Coturnix japonica: one gene and its partners. The protein of the gene in region 2 purifies or fractionates together with the protein of the main gene of each other region. This does not show direct contact. Links are inferred from orthologs where the notes say so. Each region holds a gene or a part of one and is shown on either strand. Other genes may lie near its edges. The genes, in order: CRADD, PIDD1 and RIPK1.

What was found.
Region 1: the proteins of PIDD1 (region 2) and CRADD purify together in Homo sapiens (affinity purification with western blotting; 8 studies listed by BioGRID and IntAct, with this or other methods). This does not show direct contact. The link is inferred for Coturnix japonica from reciprocal best matches to the Homo sapiens genes PIDD1 and CRADD.
Region 3: the proteins of PIDD1 (region 2) and RIPK1 purify together in Homo sapiens (affinity purification with western blotting; 3 studies listed by BioGRID and IntAct, with this or other methods). This does not show direct contact. The link is inferred for Coturnix japonica from reciprocal best matches to the Homo sapiens genes PIDD1 and RIPK1.

Annotation. Positions count from the first base shown.
Region 1 is NC_029516.1:40,902,286-40,906,506, forward strand, and holds the start of CRADD (death domain-containing protein CRADD), read left to right. Parts: upstream 1-1,337; 5' UTR 1,338-1,503; intron 1,504-1,670; exon of another isoform or gene 1,671-1,798; intron 1,799-4,003; 5' UTR 4,004-4,011; coding exon 4,012-4,221. UniProt on the Homo sapiens protein: Adapter protein that associates with PIDD1 and the caspase CASP2 to form the PIDDosome, a complex that activates CASP2 and triggers apoptosis.
Region 2 is NC_029520.1:8,843,276-8,847,565, reverse strand, and holds the start of PIDD1 (p53-induced death domain-containing protein 1), read left to right. Parts: upstream 1-1,490; 5' UTR 1,491-1,518; coding exon 1,519-1,801; exon of another isoform or gene 1,802-2,077; intron 2,078-3,230; coding exon 3,231-3,644; exon of another isoform or gene 3,645-3,655; intron 3,656-4,290. Other genes in the region: RPLP2 (60S acidic ribosomal protein P2), read right to left, coding at 1-36. UniProt on the Homo sapiens protein: Component of the DNA damage/stress response pathway that functions downstream of p53/TP53 and can either promote cell survival or apoptosis.
Region 3 is NC_029517.1:63,195,177-63,198,422, forward strand, and holds part of RIPK1 (receptor-interacting serine/threonine-protein kinase 1), read left to right. Parts: intron 1-399; coding exon 400-487; intron 488-1,313; coding exon 1,314-1,859; intron 1,860-2,933; coding exon 2,934-3,005; intron 3,006-3,246. UniProt on the Homo sapiens protein: Serine-threonine kinase which is a key regulator of TNF-mediated apoptosis, necroptosis and inflammatory pathways.

The DNA of each region.
Region 1 (4,221 bases), on a different chromosome or scaffold from region 2:
ATGGAACTGAACTGTTCTTCTGCAGTTTCACTGAAGTCAGACCAGACATGGAAGAACCGCAGTCAGAACCCAAGCAGAACCGCTCAGTGTGAGGGCTGCTCTCCCTGTGCTGTTCTGTGGCAGCAGGGTGAGCACTGAACGCAGTCACCGCTCACATTTGTGTCCCTGCTGATGAGACCCAAACAACTCATAGCGCGTTCAGCTCCCACCGGTGAATTTCAGACACCGCTTACAAACTTAGTGGAAAGAAAAGGAAACACCAGATTTTCCCTTTAATCAAACCTGGACCTCTGCCGTTGCCCTCTTCCTTCCCAGGCTTATCTCCTTCCTCCCACCGCTCTCCTTCTCTGCGTGTTTAGGCTGTAAGCAGCGACGTGACCGGCGCTGGCTGTGCTAAAGGCAACGAGGCTGCTGCTATTTATTAGAGAGGGAACCGGAGCCGCTCTGCGCACATCCATATGTTTTGCTAACTTTCTAAGATATTCTTGGACAGTATAAAATAAATAATCACAATTGCCTCAACTGGCAGAAAGAATGCAAGCTATCTAATGAACCGAGCCGCTCCTGTCCCTTCTCTGGGCTAAGACGTGGGTTCATTGTCTGCACTGAAAGCAGCCGCCAGGACGGCAGTGGGGTGGTACCGAAAGTCCCCAGGTTCGGTCCCTCCGGTTCTAAACACAATACAGTTCCTTCCATGGTGACCAGCGCTGAAAAACAAAGCAAAGCAAACATTGGCAAGCAGAGGTACAGGAAGTTAAGGAAGGAAACTTTCAGCAGTCACACGGCTGTGCACGAGGGATGATCTTTATATATATACATATATATAAGATCATATAAGATATATACCGAGCCGTGACAGCCGTGCTGCGGATACAGGCAGCCAGCTCCTCGTCACTCAGCGGCTGGCGGTGCCTCCCCGCGTGGTTTGCAGCTAAGCTCACCCGCATGCAGGCTGTCCTGCCCCTGTTCCTAGAAGGCTGAGGTGTGCCCGAGACAAAGCATTACCGCGGCTTAACGCACATACCGGAACGCAGCATCACCTAAAATAATTTTTTTACCAGTAAAAGCAATTTCAACCCCTAGCATCAAATTCATTATCCGCCCGCTATCGCACACCGACCCGCGTGTGCCGAGTGACCCAAAGCATTGCGACCCCCCCTTCTCTCCCAGCGGTGCGCGGGTTCCGCGGACCATCCGAGAGCGGGGGGGTGTTGGGCTGCCGTGGGCGAACACTCGGAGGGCAGCGGAGCGTCCGAACGGAGCCGGCCCCGCCGCTCCCGGCCCCATCCCGCGGCTCTCCTTCCCCCGGCAGCGTTTCCCCCGCCCCGCTCCCGCCGCCCCGGCTGCCCACAAGTGACATGGCGGCACCCCCCGCCCTCGCCGTCAGCGGGGCCGGTGGCGGCGCTCCCCCGGTCCTTCCGGCGGAGCCCTCAACAAAGATGGTGCTCCCCGCACCGGCTCCGCGGCCGCCGGGGCGCCGCGTGTAGTGCCCCGTTCTGCTCCGTAAGTACGGGGAGCGGGCGGAGGGCTCCCCCGCCCCGCGCCGTCCGCTCCCGGTCCGCTCCGGGGCCCGCGCTCCTCCGGCTCCGGGGCGGAAGAGCGGCCGAGCCGGCTGCCGGGCGGCGCCGCGGGGCGTTCGGGCCGCGGCCCCCCGCGCTGCGGAGCCGGGGCCGGGCTTCAGCGGGGCGGGCCGGGGCCTGCGGTACGGGCTGCAGCGACGCCGCCCCCGGAACGGAGCGGGGCAGGACGGGGCCGCGCTGCACGTTGGGCTCGGCGCTCCGCCGCCTGCGAAACCCGAGTGCGTAGGGCCGGGGAACGACGGGGCCGGGGGCGGGGTGGGGACGAGCTGCCTGAGGGCGAGCGGGGCGTTTGGTGCTGGGAAACGCCGACCTACGGCGGGAGGGGAACGGGGAGGGTGAGCTTTGGGAACGGGAGGTTCGTCTGCCTTCGTGGACGGGTCAGGAAAGCCCCAACATGTGCCTGCAGGTGTGGGGATGAGTCAGGGGCCGTGGGATGTGGAAGTGCGATTCCTGAAGTCTGCAGTGGAAAGATGTACGTTTAGGAGTGTCTGGGGTGGCTGTGCTGTGCCATCCTGCAGCTAAACTGGACTTACATCCGTTCCTTTCCCTTTAGCAGCAGTGTTATGAGCAAAGTTTACTTTCGAGCTCACCACAGACCTCTAGATACAGACTAATTAGAATTAATTGAAGGTGTTTCCCTGTTGCATTAAACTCTGGCCCTGTGCTTGCCTGCATCAAAACTCTGATAACGCCTCCATGTGTGTATGCCCGGTTCCTGAATCAGACGTGGTAACCACCCTTAAAGAAGCACTTTAAGCTTTAAAAAGACCCTAAATATCAATAAGCACCATCCTGGCAGTTGTTGGGCTGCTGACCTTGGTGGCGAGTGGCCAGAAACCAGGATGTTGAGTTTCACCCATCCCTAATGAGCATCCTGACACCAGCCACTGTCCGCCTCCTGGCTCTCACCATCACCACTCTCCATGATGGGGTTTGGTGTTTAGGCTAAACCCATCAACCAGGCCTTGCAAAGAACGAGTGCCAGTAGAGCTGCTGCTCAGCTCCAAGATGGCCCAAGGCAGAAGGTGAGCACCTCAAGCATCAGGGTAACCTGAGCAGGTGCCATCCAGTGCTGCATTCAGCACTCAGGGAGAAGTGTTTTCAGAAAGCTGCTATGTTAGAGGGTGTCACAGACAGGGTTTTCCAGTCCCTCCCTTTTGGCTTTTGTATTCTGTCTGGAACACCATTTGTGTGCTTGTCTGTTCTGTTGATTACCTGCCCTAAATGTCAACAATCAGGCCACATGGGCATGTCTTTAATGGAGAGTTAACAGGCATCTCTGACAGTAGAAAAACTTGAACGGAGCTTGTAAAAATCTTGGTCTCTCTCTGAATCTTCGAGCAAAATGAAATATAATTCCTGTACAGTCAAGCTGTTATAACAGCAACTTCTAATTTAATTACTAGAAATTCTCCTGGTAATCACATTCAACACCTGCTACAGTTTTTTTGGCTTCACGATTTAATCACAAGAAAGTATTTAATTGTATTACTAAGTCATTTTCCTTTGCAAGTGCCATTAATGGTCCTGGGGATATGTTTGTCATTAGGGACTAGACTAGACATCTTGATTTAGTTCCTAGCTTTGGCACTTACACTTGATTTGATCTTGGATGAGTCGCCTGGTCTCTCTGGACCTCGATTCCTCTTTCTCAGAATGGCTATAAAATGCATCTTTTCCAGCTTTTGTCTAGTTGGAGCATTAGTTGAGTGAAATGGAAGCTGGCAGGCAGCACCCGATTGCTTCCTATAAACACATTAGAGCGGTGAATACCAAGGAGGGAGAGAAAATGTCTAGGCTAAAGAATGATATTGGCAGAAAAAAAATGCCTATAAATAGAAGGTGAATAAATTTAAGATGGAAATTTGAGGAAAATTTCTCATCACCAGGTCAGTCGAGTCCTAAAAGAGCCGTCCAGGATGGGCTGGGGGAGAGAACGACCTGGTGCATGCAGGACATTCCACCCCTGCTGAAATTAGGATGTGTTGGGTTGCCAGAGCCACTTGCTGGCTGGCAGCAGTGCAGCAGCCCTCATGTCTTAGATGTTGAGACCAGAGGTTAGGTGTGACACTGGGCAACTTTCTGGGGTAGAGTCTCTCATGGACTGGCAAATGCTCCAGCTGCTTTGGGGGTGGACCTTGGCCAGTTAGTGAGCCAGGTACTTTGGCACGGTTGTCATTCCTTCTAAGCACTGGTCTTCACAATGTCAAAAACTCTTTTCCTGTCTAATATTTCCCAGAAATGGTTGTGTTTTAGCTTGTAAGACTTTATGATTCGAGCAGAAATGAGGTGGTGGAGATAGTAGTTTTCCCAGGCTGATGATGTTGAGAATTCTGTCTAAAGAATGTTGGGCATCAAACATCACTTGAGGGCGTTCATGGTTGGAATTTTAATCTTGCATCTCCCCACTCCTTATGTTCTAGGTTGCCAAATGGATGCCAGAGACAAGCAACTTTTGCGCTCCCTGCGCCTGGAGCTCTGCACGGAGGTGCTGGTGGATGGACTAGTTATTCAGTATCTCTATCAAGAAGGCATTCTCACCGACAGTCATGTTCAAGAAATAAAATCCCAAACCACCAGCCAAAGGAAAACCATGATGCTCCTTGATATTCTTCCTACTAGAGGACCCAAGGCTTTTGAT
Region 2 (4,290 bases):
GAGGACAGCGAGGAGGTACGCTGCAACGTAACGCATCCTGGAAAACAAAGCCGAAGTGTTTAATGCCACAGATCTAGTTTAATAATCCTTGTTTGCTTTTCCCCTCGCTGTGTTTATTACATAAAGGCCGTGGCGGGACAGGCCGCATTCCCACCTCCCGCCATTGCAGGCCCAGCATTGAGGCCGCTGACCCCGCAGTGCCCAGCAGCACCCGCCGGCCCAACACCCAACACCCGGCACGGCCCGACGCCCCCGATCCGTTCATCGCTCCATCCCATCCCATCCCGTCCCGTCCCGTCCGCCCTCAGCGGCCCAGGCCTGCGGAGCACATGGCCGCCATTCCCCCCCACCCACCCTCCCAGCCCGGAGCGGTCCCGCCCAAGCCCCGCTGAGTGCCGCGGCCGGGCCAGCAGCGCCCATAGCGGCACAAGGGCTGTGGGTACGGGGCACGGAGCCGCCCCGCGCTCACTTGGCGAGGCGATGGGGCGAGACGGGCCCGGGACGTGTGGTCACTACGGCAGCCCGGCAGCCAAAAGGAAAGGGCGGAGCTACGGCAACGCCTTCTTCCCGTCACCTCTCAGCAACGCCGGCTGCTATTGGGGAAGGTGGCCGGCTAATGGGGAGCTGCCGGATGCTTGCGACCGCATGCAATGGCCACGCGTGCGCGTTGGGCTGTAGGGTGGAGGGGTTGTTCCCTTTTGCACGGCTAAAAGTCCTTCTGTGGGGTTCTACCCCACAACGAGCTGCTTGTTCCCCCTAGCAAGGCTTGCCCCTGCTCTCCTCAAGGGCACAGCGGTTTCCCCATGCTGGCTTTGCAGCTGGGAGCAGCGCACGGTGTCCACGGCCGCATCTGTACGGGCACAGCAACGTGGGAGAGGGGAGAGAACTACCTCAGCGCCCTGTTGGCTGGTGAGGGCAGCAGCCCCGTGCCCTGTGCATTAACCCTGCCATATAAACCCTCTCCCCAGCTCGGCTGCATTTGCTCCACTGCCCTTTGACTGCTTTCCAGCCCCTGTTACCCGATTTCACAACGGGGTTGGTGGCAGCCCGTACTGGCTTAGAGCTGCTGCTCCTGTCTCTGCATTCCCTGCCCCGTTTTCCCTGTTTGCATGCAGACCTCCTCGCTGAGGCACTTTGTATTCTGCACGAAGCATAGACACTTCCATTGATACGTTTTAAAGTTCCTATTGCTGTTTATTATGATGGATAACTGGAGCAACACATATTTTCTCCATTCCCTGAGTTGGAAAAAATCAGCTGGGAAAATTTAGATGTGTTCTTTAGCAGGAGCCCCTACAGAGCCCCTGTGTTTCTGTCCCTTCTGCCCACAAAGCTTTTGACAACACACCTCCTGCCTTCTTGTTGCGGCTTTAAGCAGTTACCAGCCACCCTGTGCTGGGGCAGGAGGCCATCACTGTGCACATCTGCTCTCTTTCAGAACCATCCTTTCTCCTCTTCCCCATCCCGGCAGCCTGCCGGTGCCTGCCCACCTAGCAAGTCGGAGCATGTCTGGCCCCGATGGACAAGATGCAGAAGATGGCAGAACTGCTGAAGCTCGGGGACAAGGATGGGGAGGGGGCTCCGGGGGCTCCTTCACTCACTGGCTGCTGCTTGGCAGACAACAGGCTGACTCTGGATCTTTATCCGGATGGCTGCTGGCAGCTGCTCTGGCTGTTCGAGAGGCAACAGGCAGACGTGGTGCAGGTGGAGCTCCTCCGGCTCAGCACTAACAATCACCTGCTCGACGCCGCGCTGAGCATCCTTCCGCATCTGAAGCGCCTGAAGTCCCTGGTGCTCAAAGGTGAGTTCCTGGACCCCATCAATTAGCTTCGTGTTGGTGTTTAGCCATCTTTCCACATCTGCAGAACAAGATTCCTTAGAGCTTTTTTGCCCTGTGCTGGGGTATCGGCTCTTAGTCTCGCTCAGAGCTGCATGCGGATTTCAACAAGAATCAGCATCTAGACATTTATAACTTTCCTTTGCCTCTACAGCTGCGTGTGGACCAGTCTTTGGAGCCCGGTTAGGTTGATGCATTTCTTTATCCATCCTCTAGAAGAAGAGCATTTTTTTTGCACAGCTGTTTAAGGAGAGGGAAATTGAAAAGTATTTGATTTTTGATAAACGCTCAGCTTCTCTTTAATTTCTGTTAGTGTAATGAGCTGCCCTTGCTGTGGTCTGTTCTGAATCAGTCCTAATCCTTGCATTGTGTTAATGAGCACGGTCTGGGCACACACCAGGAGAAGCTGTTTGGTATTTTATCTAAAGCACAACTCAGGGTGTGTGTCATTCAGCATTCCCTAAGAACTGTTACACGTCGGAATTATAACATCTCTTGATTTCCTTATCTCTGAATTGTAGGAGGCTCTCAATATGAATGACACCATTTTTGTTTTAGATTGAATCATTTGATCTTTGGGAGGTAAAATTGTAATATCACGGGAGAGAAAAGAATTCAGGGTTCCAGCTGAAAGCTCTCATGACTGAGGTTCATTTCTACACCTACCACAGATGGCTTATAAAATCTCATACAGTTATTTTATTTATCTTTTCTCCTGCGGTAAGGTGAGGCTAATGGCAATGCCTTTTATGATACTTGTTTTGCCAGATGCACATGTACTCTGAACACCCTGAAGTGCAATAAAATAGTTGGACTACATTTTGTGATGCCCCAGGTACAATGTTTCTCTTAGACTGTTTACATTCTTTGCCATTATGAAGCGTAACAACAGTTGCCCTCTCCTATATACCTTCATGAGCAGAGCAGTGGAAGGAGACTAGGAGGCAAAGATGAGATGGAGAATTCTGTAAGCTTGCTTTGTGTGCTTGACTTCTTTTCCCAAGGTGCAACCATTCACCAGTCTGAGTTGGGAAGGATGTTCAGAGATTTGCAAGAGTGTGGGTCACTGCACTGAGTGATGGTATGTGTGTGGAGTGGCCTGGTTCTTTCTGAACTCTCCCCCACATGTGTTGAGCAGGGTTCTAGGAGTTCACTGTAATATCTCTATTATCTTCCCAGTAGATCTTTGTGATTATACCCTTTTCACAGATCAGGAAATGGAGGCAAGGTGCAGAAAACTTACCAAACTTTGTAGTCAGTGCAGCTTATTGTGATCAGAAGTTAAACATCATCTGAGTCTCCACGTTATAGCTTCAGAAAGGAGTGTTACACGAGGCTGGTGAGGTGTCCTCGTACTATATTGACTTCTTCCCCTACTTCCTTTTGCACCTAGGTGGCCTTGTCAGAGATGAATTTGGTTCGTGTCAGCGTGGCTCCCTGACAAGCTTACCACCAGATTTTGGGACCCTGAGGTGTCTCACTCACTTAGATCTCAGCTTCAATAGCCTCTCCACCCTGCCCAGCTGCATCCCTTGCCTCACCAGCCTCCGCATGCTCTCAGTGAGCCACAACAACTTGGTGGCACTTCCTGAGAACTTCGGCTCACTGAGCAAGCTGACTTTCTTCTCTGCTATGAAGAATCAGCTGAAGGACTTACCTCGGAGCATTGGGGAGCTGACAGCACTGGAAGAACTGGATCTCTCAGAAAATGCATTGGAACTTCTCCCTGAAGAGGTTGGAAATCTGCACAGCTGCACAGAACTGGATCTCTCTGGGAATCAGCTATCAAGAATCCCGGATTCTTTAGGTACCTGTTTTCTTAGGTGATAAGAAAGAGAGTCTGCTCAGTTTTTGATACAGGCCAGGATCCCTGAGCCCTTTGCCTCTGTTCCCAGGGTTGCTAGGACAAAGTGTCTGCTACATTAAAGCCAAAACGAGAGGGTTGTCCAAAAAAACCATGCTTGGTTGAGTCAGTCCCTGTGGGCATTAGTAGGTCATGCTTCTGTCAATCAAAAAGCTCCTAAGATTTTCCTGCAACCTAAAATAGTTGAGTTTAGCCTGGCTGATTTTTGGGAGCATCCAGGACTGGGAACAGAAGAGCTGGGGCTTAAGAGGAAGCAAAACAGCTTTAAATCAGGCTCTGTGTTATGGAGCGTAATAATCAGAAAGATCAACACAGTGGAATGGTGATACAGGAGATGTAATAACAAAGGGACTAGTGTGATAGAAAGGCATTACAAAGGAAAAGTGCTCACCCCTCTCTGAAGATCTGGGCTTGTAGGGAAAAATCCATAAGGGAAAGATCTCCAATCAGAAATCGCTTCAGAGTGGCAGTCAGCCCTAAATGAGATCTAAGAGAGGTGCAGCCAGGCTTCACCCCTTTTAGTCCCACAGCTGAGTTACCTTCACCTGTGGTCACAGGGCTGACTGGGTCCTTTCCCCAGGTACTCCAT
Region 3 (3,246 bases), on a different chromosome or scaffold from region 2:
CCTCTGGATCCAGTTATTCAACTAGTTTTCAAGTCACTGTGCACTTATCTAGCTCACAGTTATCAGCTTCTTTGCTAAGACCTTAGGAGAGACATTAATTATGAAATGTATCCCTATGTGCCAATTAAACTTATACTCATTTAGGTAAATGGTGTTCTCTGGCCAGCTCAGAATTACTACAGTTGCATTACAGTTCTTCCTCCTTTCACTGAAGATAAGATTTTGCCCATCTGTAGCAAAGCAGCGGCTATTTTCTGCAAGGCTCTGTCCTCTGTAAGATTGATGGAATCTGTTCACCCAGGTGACTTCAGTATAAGGATGTGTTTTCTATTCTATAGGTGCTTCCTCTCGTTAAGCTTTTACCTATAACTTGACCATATGCTCTTTTCTTACATGTAGGAAATGTGGCCCAAGTCAGAAGAACTGCTGCAGAGGATGAAATCCCTTCAAATAGATGCTGTAGTAGATACCAGCAATGGCCAAATAGGTGGGTGTTCCAAGTTGCATAACTAGCACATCATCCTGGCATGTACTCTGCTAAAGATAAAGTTGCCCCTTTTGTAGCTATGGAGAGACTCAGTCATTCAGTACTTCTAAAATCCAGTAGAAGTCAAATCCTACTAACTTTGCCCACACCACTGTAAAGATTTTATTAAGCAAGTAACTTGGAACTATAACAGGCAACCGATAAACCTTCACCAAAGCTATGTTTGCCATAACAGAAGTAGAACTATTGGACCTAGTAAGGCAGGCCAATTGCTGTACTTTTAAAGTAGCGTAGGTACATTTCCCTAGCAAAAATAATAATGTAAGACTACAGATTACAGATGCTTTTGTGCTTTTTTTTGGTGACATCTCCAGATAGGATTTCTACATAATCTTTTGCAGATATGACTTCAGTGACAAATTATTTGTGTTGCATTAAGTAACGCCAATTACAGTGAGTTCTATCTTCCATCTTGTTATACTCTGGTCTTACACTGGTTAAATACCAGTTAATGAAGTCAAGACTTGGTAGTAAATTAGACCCTATGAGTGCTGCTGGGAACCTGTTGTTTCAGTGACTAAGAACCTGGTGTCGATATATGCAGAATACACAGTGAATTCAGACACTGCTTTCCTAAGCATAATTCAGTGACACTTCCCAGAAAGGGAAGTATTACATAAAACAGCTTATGCTGGAAGTGATGCTACAGTTTCATCTTTTATAATTTACCATAGTATTAAAAATAAATTAATAGAATCTAATGTCACCACTAGTTATATACTTGCAATAGAATCTGTTTTAAATACTTCATTTTTTTCCCTTTCAGATCAACCTAATTCTCTACACAGCTCTCAGGGTCAGATTAATGAAGCCTTGTTTGCTGCCTACCCTGAGAACCAGCCTGTTGAGAGCTGTGAGACTTCGTTTACATCCCCTGACAATCTTGAAAGAAAACTTGAACGTGAATACGACTACCATGCATACGGCAGCCGGATGGATAAATCAGTAGCTCCACCATACAGCCCTGAAATGAGAGAGAGAGAAACGAGACCTAAAGTTTCCAATGATCCATTTGCAAAGCTGCCTTCTGTTCCTCAATGGGGTGAACTGTATTACAAAGCTGAAAATATAGGATCAAACACTAACCCTTGGTTTTGGCCAAAACAAGCTGCAATACCAACTCAGGGAAATTTAGAAAATTTTTATGGGCCAAACGTTAACAGTCTCCTAACAGGAAACACTGAAGATCGCTATGATCCATGTTCAACAAGTGCCTTTAGCCTAAGCAAAACTCCTGTGCCGGAATCTCGCCCAAACCTGGGGGCACAGAACAGCGTAAACCAGCAACAAAAGAATGCAGATGTGGATACAGGTGAGATTCTTCCTCCTCTTAACTCTTGTGTTTCTGAAAATGTGTTTTTTCCTCTAAAGACAAAGCAGCCTTAATAATAGCAGACAGTGGATAATACTGCAGCAGCTAACAAAACCAAGAGCTCTTACTAATCACACTTGGAAAACTAAGGAGTATTTTTGACTCACAGAATGTAACATTCACACCACAGGCTGTGTGCGCAAAAATGGAACTTTTCTCATGTATGTGCATGTAGCATTTCAGAAAAGAGATATTTAAGCTTGATTTGCAGCAAGTTAAGAGTTCAGGGAGCTAACAAGGAACTAAAGCTCTTAACTGGTTTCTCCAGAGAACACTGCTCAGTGCTAACACAGAGATGCCCTTACAGTTTGCTAGTGAACTGTGGAATAGAAAGCTATGGAGAAAACGAAGAGAACAGTGAGTGTCAGTAACAAGTGGAAGCAATCATTGTAGGGAGGCAACATACAATATCATGGCAGGCATCAGGCAGATGCAGAAGACCTGCACTGCAGTTCTTCTATTGTCTTATTTGGTGACCATAACCCAGTCACTCTTACTGCCCAGTCACAAACTGTCAGAGCTCATCTGAGCGCATCCAAATCCATTACTACATCAGACAGGAAGTTACATCTCTGCAGGACATTATTGCTACCAACAGAAGATACGGTGGCATCCCCAGCTACAGCTGGTCACAACTAACATGCTAACAAACCATGATCAGTCTCAGCAGTAAATAGCAATGTGCTCGGCAGCCTTCTTGGTTTGGAGGCAGTAATACCTGTGTCTACGCTGTGATCCTGTGCTGCTTTCTGCCAGGCAGGTGTTCATACACCCATGTGGAATCCTGTTGTTCTCACTGGGATCCAAGGATCACAAAGGCTATCAGTCCATAAGCAAAACCACAATAAGGGTAACTGCTTCAGAGTTATTAAAGGAGATAAAGTCCTGTTTGTTAAAAAACTTTCTGTCTTTTTGTATTTAAGAGCGCTATGCACACTGTACAAATAACAGCAGTACTTGTAGATTTGTTTTTTTTAATTTCCATAACACTTCTGGCATTTCCTCTCTCTTTAGGTATCAAGGTTTCTGCCTCTTTCACAAGGGGAACTTTCACATATTATCCTCCTGCAACTCCAATAACCAGAGGTAAATGCTGTAGCCTTTGTTTGTCTTGGTAGCCAACAGTTTATGCATTGCATTACGATCAGTGAGGAAAAAAGCTTCAGCATCTTCATCATCAGGCTGCCCAGGGGGGTGGTGGAGTCTCCTTCTCTGGACATATTCAAGACCCGCCTGGACGCCTACCTGTGTGACGTGGTTTGGGGAGCCTGCTTTGGCAGGGGGGTTGGACTCAATGATCTCTAGAGGTCCCTTCCAACCCCTACAA